2 linked regions of the Arabidopsis thaliana genome follow. The protein of the gene in region 2 purifies or fractionates together with the protein of the main gene of each other region. This does not show direct contact. Each region holds a gene or a part of one and is shown on either strand. Other genes may lie near its edges.

What was found. The genes of interacting proteins can lie anywhere in the genome.
Region 1: the proteins of WEE1 (region 2) and UBA2A purify together in Arabidopsis thaliana (affinity purification with mass spectrometry, with the first as the bait; one large-scale study listed by BioGRID). This does not show direct contact.

Annotation. Positions count from the first base shown.
Region 1 is NC_003074.8:21,050,615-21,054,369, forward strand, and holds the start of UBA2A (UBP1-associated protein 2A), read right to left. Parts: upstream 1,707-3,755; 5' UTR 1,531-1,706; coding exon 94-1,530; 3' UTR 69-93; exon of another isoform or gene 1-68. Other genes in the region: AT3G56870 (uncharacterized protein), read left to right, coding at 2,463-3,755. UniProt on the Arabidopsis thaliana protein: Heterogeneous nuclear ribonucleoprotein (hnRNP)-like protein that acts as a component of a complex regulating the turnover of mRNAs in the nucleus. Binds with high affinity to RNA molecules that contain U-rich sequences in 3'-UTRs.
Region 2 is NC_003070.9:671,229-674,983, reverse strand, and holds the start of WEE1 (WEE1-like kinase), read right to left. Parts: upstream 1,679-3,755; 5' UTR 1,577-1,678; coding exon 1,278-1,576; intron 1,021-1,277; coding exon 960-1,020; intron 886-959; coding exon 819-885; intron 544-818; coding exon 280-543; intron 172-279; coding exon 104-171; intron 17-103; coding exon 1-16. Other genes in the region: AT1G02965 (uncharacterized protein), read left to right, coding at 2,170-2,333, 2,436-2,466, 2,578-2,652, 2,839-2,878, 3,010-3,065, 3,201-3,323. UniProt on the Arabidopsis thaliana protein: Cell cycle regulatory kinase that is not rate-limiting for cycle progression under normal growth conditions. Transcriptionally activated upon DNA stress or damage in an ATR- or ATM-dependent manner.

The sequences.
Region 1 (3,755 bases), on a different chromosome or scaffold from region 2:
ATCAGTAAGTTAATATATACTGAGGAAAGACATTTCAACAATTAAACAAGGGAAATTCATTGCTCTACCTGAGTGGATGGATACATGATACATTTAGTGACCCATGTAAGGAGTACCGTATGGCCCGACACCATGTTGCCCTCTACTTGTACCGCCTTGACCAGGTTGCGGAGTCTGATAACCGCCTTGCAACCCAGGTTGTGTACCGTACCCAGGCATTGTCCCCGGTGCCATAGCTTGAGTACCGTAACCAGTTGGCATTCCAACTCCATTCCCTGGGTTTACACCAGCAGCTGTCCCCAAGGAACCCAACAAAGCCTGTCCAATTGCCGGATTAAAAGCCAAACCAGCTCCCTGAGATGCCAATAAAGCTGTCAAGGCCTGTCCAATGGCCGGGTTTATCACCTGTGCCGTTGGACCACCCATCCCAGCTGGGTTACCAGCCATGAGATGTCCATGACCTCCAGGCGGACCATAACCATTGTTATCATTCCTTTGGTAACGAGGATTGTTATAGGCGTGTGGGTTATGGTGATGCTGCTGCTGCTTGCCCGGTTTGGGACCATCGATAGCTTTCTGGCAATGCAAGATATGGCCTTCAAAAGTCTTGTGTGGCTCCTCCAAAGCCCTCTTGGCGCTTTCAGACGACTTATAAACAAAGAGACAGAAACCTTTAGGTCTCCCAGTATACTTATCAAGACCCAAAGGACCTTCTTCAATTTCTCCAAACTTTGAGAAAAACATCAGCAACTTCTGTGGATCAAGCTCTGCTCCGACATTACTAACATAAATCTTTTTCTGAGTATGCTCCGAGTTCGAATGCTGAGCAGGCGCTGAAACAGCTGCAGCAGCGATAGGAGCTCCACCAAAGACAGGTCCTTTAGAAGCCAATTGGCATGCCGTCATACGACTACCAATCTTCTTCTGAGGCTGCTTGAGTGCGTTGCGAGCACCTGAACGAGACTTGTACAGAATAAAGCCATAACCTTTAGATTTCCCTGAGATCTTATCAAACACAGCCTTGCAATCTTCGATCTCTCCGTACTGCTTAAAAGCTTCAATAAGCGTCTCTGTTTTCGTATCCCAACCAAGACCGTGCACAAAGATCTTCCGATGAACAGGGTCCTCATCAGCTACTTCCCTAATTCGATTGGCTACATCAACATGCTTCTCCGCTGCTTCCTTAAGAAGACTCAAAACTTGCTCCTTTGAAAATGGTTCCAACAGATCCTGAATTGGTTCATCGTCATCATCTTCTTGATTGCCAGATCCAGACGTCGCCGCCGCCTCTATACGATTCCCATCCGTCTGATCCTCATTCTCATCACCATCATCTTCATCGTCATCATCTTCTACTTCTTCTTCTTGCTCTTCCTCTACTTCCTCGTATTCAACTTCTTCAACGTCTCCTTGATTATCCTGATTTTTAATTACAAGCTGCTGCTCCTCCTCCGGCGTCTGCTTCAGCTTCTGCGACGGTTCTTCAGCTTCGTTAGATTCTTCTCCTTCGAGCTTTCTCTTCTTTGTCATTTTCGAATTCTAATGGAGATTTTAGGGTTTCGAATGTTTTCTTTGGTTTCTTCTCCAAAAAGCTGATTTTCCCCTCCTTATCTATAATGCGCCGCTATGTGGGTGGTATATCATCAACCTCAAGTCTTTGCTAAGTGGATTTTTACACATTTACCCCTAACCATTTTATATATATAAGCCCATTAATGATTATTGGGCTTTAAGTTTAAAGACCCATTTACGAAAAGATGCTTAAGTAAGAAAAAAAGAATAACGTCAAAGTTCCCGCCATGTGTTTCCCGCGAGACTTGACGGCTCATAAGATTAGTCAGAACTCAGAAGACAAGACAACCAAAGAAAAGGTTTCGCCTCCCTTCTTACAAAGAGCTGCAATTTTCAGTCTCTTGGTCTTCTTCTTCGTCTTGTTTTCAAATTAATGTCTCTCTGTCTCTTTAGTGAACCCTAGATCCAGAAATTAGAGTTTGGAGCCCAGGATTCGGCATTCATTTCCCTTCTCTATCCAATTAAGCGTTGATTAAGACTTAAGGTAAATTCAATGTCCTAGATTCAATTTCTCTTTGATTCATTCATCTACTTTACCCAGATCTGCTCTTTACCATTCTCGAATCGATACAGCTACAAAAAAAATTGATGTAGCGAAATTAGGGTTTTCGCCGCCCATTGTGAATTTCATTTTTTAATTTGCATGTCCTTTTTCGTGGTCAGATTTGTGCAATTGATTTTCTAAGAAAAGAGTTTTGGTTTCAAATTGTGTTTAGTAGCTAATTGATGTTCGTTTCTCTGATTGGCTTAATGAAATTTAGGATTCTGGTTTATTGTTGTTAGCACTTAGCAGTATCCTTACCGGTAATTCCTTTGTTTGTTTCAATCCAGGAGCGCGGGGATTATACGAGCTTAATCAGTTGTTAGCAAGTAATTATCTGATAGTTACAATGGTGGAGTTAAGAAGTAGCACACACTTGAACTCTCATGTACATTATATCCGAACCATTAAAGACGGATCTATCAAAATAGTGATGAATATGGATGGCAGAAGAAAACCAAAGCTCAAATTTAGACAGTTGGTGGATATATACAATCTTGAAGACAGTCAAGGTGTTGAGTCAATTCCAAGAGTAGTCAGGGATTTGGACAATGGTTCTGATTTTACACAAGGTTCTGAGTCTGAAGATTTTAGCATGACAACATTGGAGATGATTCAGAAACAATGCAAAGAAAGGAAAAGGAAACTTAGAAACTGCAGAGATACTACTACTGAGACATTCTCGAACGTTGAAGTTAAAAAAGAGTATGTGACCCAAGATGAAGGATGTGATATTGAGGAGCCTCTTAGCAGTTGGGATACGAAATTCTCCAAGAGAAGGAAGAAGAAGCAGGAGCGTAAAAAAGCAAAGTGTGGTACTTCTACTTCCTCTCCTCCATCTGTGGAAAAGGTTGATTTGCCGTTGGTGCTCTTTCATGTCAAGCCTGAAGTTTGGGATGATAGCTATTCAGTTTCTGAAGCCATGGATTGTAGTGAAAAGTCAGAATCTCCTATAAATACAGTGTTGGTGGAAGAAATAATGCTTGATTCGTCCAGTGACATGAGGCTGGTTCCATACTGCAGTGCAGAGCCAAATTTTCCCGGAGTGGTAGCCATTGAGGAAGCTTTTGAAGATGCATCAGAAGAGTTTAGCGATGCTGATTTTCAGAATAAGCAAATTGTTTTGTACTCTAGTGTGTCTAGAGAGGAGATGGAATTGGATGTTAATCCACAACATTCAGAATATGAGAACATTGGTTGTGTAAAGAACTTCATTTCTGCTTACACAAGCTCTGGGTGCGAAGAAGAAGATAAAGAGGATGAGGAAAGCAATGATATAAAGGCTAACTTAGATATGAGTGTAACTGGTTTGGAGATTGTGAAGATAGAAGCTCCAGAAATACTTGCTATTGATTACCCCGGTTGTTTGTCCATCATCAATTTTTGTGCAGAAGATTCCGAGATTGTGTGGGAAACTGAAGACATTACTAAGGATAATTTTCCTGAAGCAACTGATATTCTCCAGCTGACCAACTGTTGTAATTCACTGGATAATCTGCAACCAGTTCCTGAAGACAGCACAAGTTCAAAAGAAGAAGATCATTTGACAGAAAGATTACAACAATCTTTATACTCCAAACATGAAGATGAAGCAGGAGACCACAAACTATCACAACTGTATAAGGAACCTGATGAGGTTCAA
Region 2 (3,755 bases):
GTCCAGCACCAATTTGCTGGAGAAACCAAACCAAAATACGTAAGAAGAAGCAACATAATTCCGTCATGATCACAATTCCAAGCTAAAAGACCCTTTCGCTTACCCGGATTTCATGAAAGTCCGTGAGATATCTTGACAAGCCATCCCCACTTGTACTTACAGGGAGAAAACCTACATAACAGTATATTTAGTACAGTTTTACTGAAGAAACCAAGCCTTATTGATTTTTAAAGCCTTCAGGAAATTCTTGAGCAAGAATTTTAGGGACAACAAACTTACTTGCACATTTTGATCTCTGATGTCCAAAAGGGTCAGTAGCAGTCTCAGACTGATTCAACACATACGGATTCTTGAGGCAAGGGGGTGGCATAGCCCGACACCGCAGAGCAACTGCAGCCTGTGAAACGTATCCAGTCCTCTCTGTTTGATTAGCTTGGAGTTTATCCCCCATCACCTCATCTGTGTCAATATCATCATTCTCTTGTTCATCTACTCTATGTTTTGAAGACCAGGTAGAATTTGAATGATTTCCTGTGAAACTCTCTGCATCAAACACAAAAAAAAACAAACAAAACTGAGTAATGAAAAAATTAAGCAAAGAACACACTGTCACCAAAACATGAAATCACTAGATACTACTAGTGTGAATCTTAAAGCAATAAAGAATTCAATATTGGACAGTTGTTAAAACAGGAGATCAAACATAACTATAATGATAACAATTGTACCACAAAAACTGAAACGTATATTTTCTTCTCATCCGAAAATCTTCTTTTTACTCATACTAAACACAAAATCTGAATCCAAAGAAAGCTTACCCTGGCGACATCTTTTGCTTTTAACTGTATTTAGTTTAACAGGAGACCTAGGACATGGAGAATGATCCTACAAAAACAATAAAGAGAAGAACTTTAAATTTGAGACATTGGTGAAATAAACATCCAAATCAACAATTTTACCTTGCTGATATCTAAGCCGCTCATCAAGTTCTGATTGTCCGGGGTTATATAGTCAGGTGTGCTGGAAAAATTAACCAGAGAAGAAATTATTAGTAGCTGAGACCATCATTCATCAACATCTCACAAGCATCTTTTAGCTAGACATAAGTTTAGCTTTCATTTTTAAAAAGTGAATATAAGGGAAACCATCTCAAATCTAAAGTCAGATCTTGAAATCGTAATACTAACTAATCCCAAAATTCAACTACCTAGAAGATAACGATAGATCTCGAATTAGATATACACAGCTAAGAAATGCCAGAGTTAACGAAGATTTACCAGAAGAAGTCTTGGCTAAGAATAAAGTCCTTCTCTCCGCAATTGGCATCTGAATCAGCGGAACCCAACTGATTTCGGAGTTCCGAAGAATCCGAATCCAGGAGACCCTGAAACGCCGATGAAGCAACATTCGACGACGGACGATTTTCGAAAGAAATCTTCGACAATTGACCGAATTGAAGCAGAGAGTGACGCTCCAATGTCCCTTCCATCTTCCGAATCTTCTTCGATGCCCTGGTTTTGATTGTCCCTTGGGTTTTCCTCTTCGCCAACAGTGTTCTTCCGTTCTTCTCGAACATGACGATGAATATTATTACTTTGGGTGGTGATTCAACTAAGGAAAAATAATTGAAATAAATTAATAAATTCAAAATTTGCGCGCTCTCGTCTTTTAGAGTTTCGAGCTAAAATTTGGGAATAGTCATCTGCATGACTGACTACGGTGCACTTCCTATATAATCAATTCTGGACCGTTCAATCTTCAGGATTGAAATATTTTGCTACAGATAAAGTAAAGGTGCAGCGGATCTTCTGTAGAGCGTATCATGTACGCTTTGATGGGTCTTTAATAAATAATATTTTTTTCTATAATAGCACTAGCATTTTTTTTGTTACGATTCACTAATTTAAATATTCAACTTTCTTAAGAAATATAATATTTTTTGTTACGATTCACTAATTAAAATTTTGAATTAGTATTTTTTGTTAATTAATTTAACAATTTGTATTTTTATTGGTCAAACAACTAAAAAGTTTCTCATTTTTTTTTTTCCAAACATGAATTAACTCTCCTTAATCCTTATAACTAAAGACCAGTAATTTGTACTAGAATGTGAAATTAAGGAATTGCCAGATTAATGTTTGATTAATTCTAAAATGTGGGATATAAAACATGGGAATTGGGCCTATTAAAGCCCAATTACTAATACTAAAAGAAAGTAAACTCAGAGAAGGGCCCATATCCAAGCATACTAACGGCAAGGACGGTATAAAGGTGCACGCCGGCGAGATCGATTTGAACGGTGACGGCGAATGTGACGGCGAAGAAACCTTCCGGTGACTGTTCTACATCTCTGAGAATTGTTTGCTTTTGCGATTTCTTTTATTGTTGGATTAATTTGATTTTGAGTTTTGCTTTTGTTCTTGTTGGATTTTCAGGGGAATCCAGATTCCGATCAGAGCATCTCTGGTGAGAACTGATGATTGCTTTTATCATCTGAAATTTCGATTTTAGATCTTAGTGTTTAGGTCGCTCATTGTCTAACAAGTGATTCGCAAGCTGTTGTTTGGTCTTTTAGAGGAGGAGGAAGAGATCATCAATGTTAGTTTGGGAGAAAATGATATGTGGCCAAGCGAGAATGCAAAGGAAGAAGAGGTAATGTTTAATCTCAACTTGAGCTTGCATAAAGCTCTCTGGGAACTCCTGAGAATTTGTCTTTGAGAAAGAACATGGGAACTTTTGATTTTGCCCAATTCCTGATTGTTGTTGGCTTGACTAGTTTTGAGGAGCTATAGGGTGAATTTGATTGTGGTTTGACCATAGTTGGCTTGAATATTGTAGGGAGGATTAATACTTCAAACAAAGCTCGAAAAACTCATAGGTATATATTTTGCGATCAAGCCTTTTCTATGACTATCTTAACTTCAGTCAGGTTTCCCGTACCTTCTTGCAGTTCATAGATTAACTGATTAAGGAAAGTGTTTTCATAAGGAGCTTATGTGTTGTTTTCAGGTTGTGGTGCGCTAAATTATGCTAGGGATCCCGGTGATGTAACGGTGGAAGCAACTGTGAGTCGTTTTCGTTTTCAAATTCTTTTGCGCAGCTTCTTGTTCTGAGGAATATTGGAATCAAATGGTGATGAGAGAAATTTCCTTTTTAGCTACGGAAGATATCAGAATAACTAAACCAGAATTGTGTTACAGATACTTACAAGTACTGATTTGATGCCGAAGATTTACCAGAATTGTGTTACAGGAAATGCCGAAGATTTACCAGAAGAAGTCTTGGCTAAGAATAAAGTCCTTATCTCCGCAATTGGCACCTGAATCAGCGGAGCCCAACTGATTCCGGAGCTCCGACGAGTCCGAATCGAGAAGACCCTGAAACTCCGATGAAGCAACATTCGACGATGGACGATTCTCAAAAGAAAGCTTCGAAAATTGACCGAATTGAAGCAGAATAGTGTCGCTCCAATGTCCCTTCCATCTTTCGAATCTTCTTCGTTCTTCTCGGTTGATGGTTCCTAGGGTTTTCCTCTTAGCCAACAGTGTTCTTTCGTTCTTCAAAATTTGATGGAAAGTAAAGACAATAAATAAATATATTCAAAATTTGCGCGCTCTAGTCTTTTCTCGTTTCGAGCTTGGGAATAATCAGCTGTATCAATGACTACGGTGGATTTCCTATTTAACCGTTAGATGAAAGGATAGTAATATTTTGTTACAGATAAAGTAGAGGTGCAGTGGATCTTCTGGAAGGCG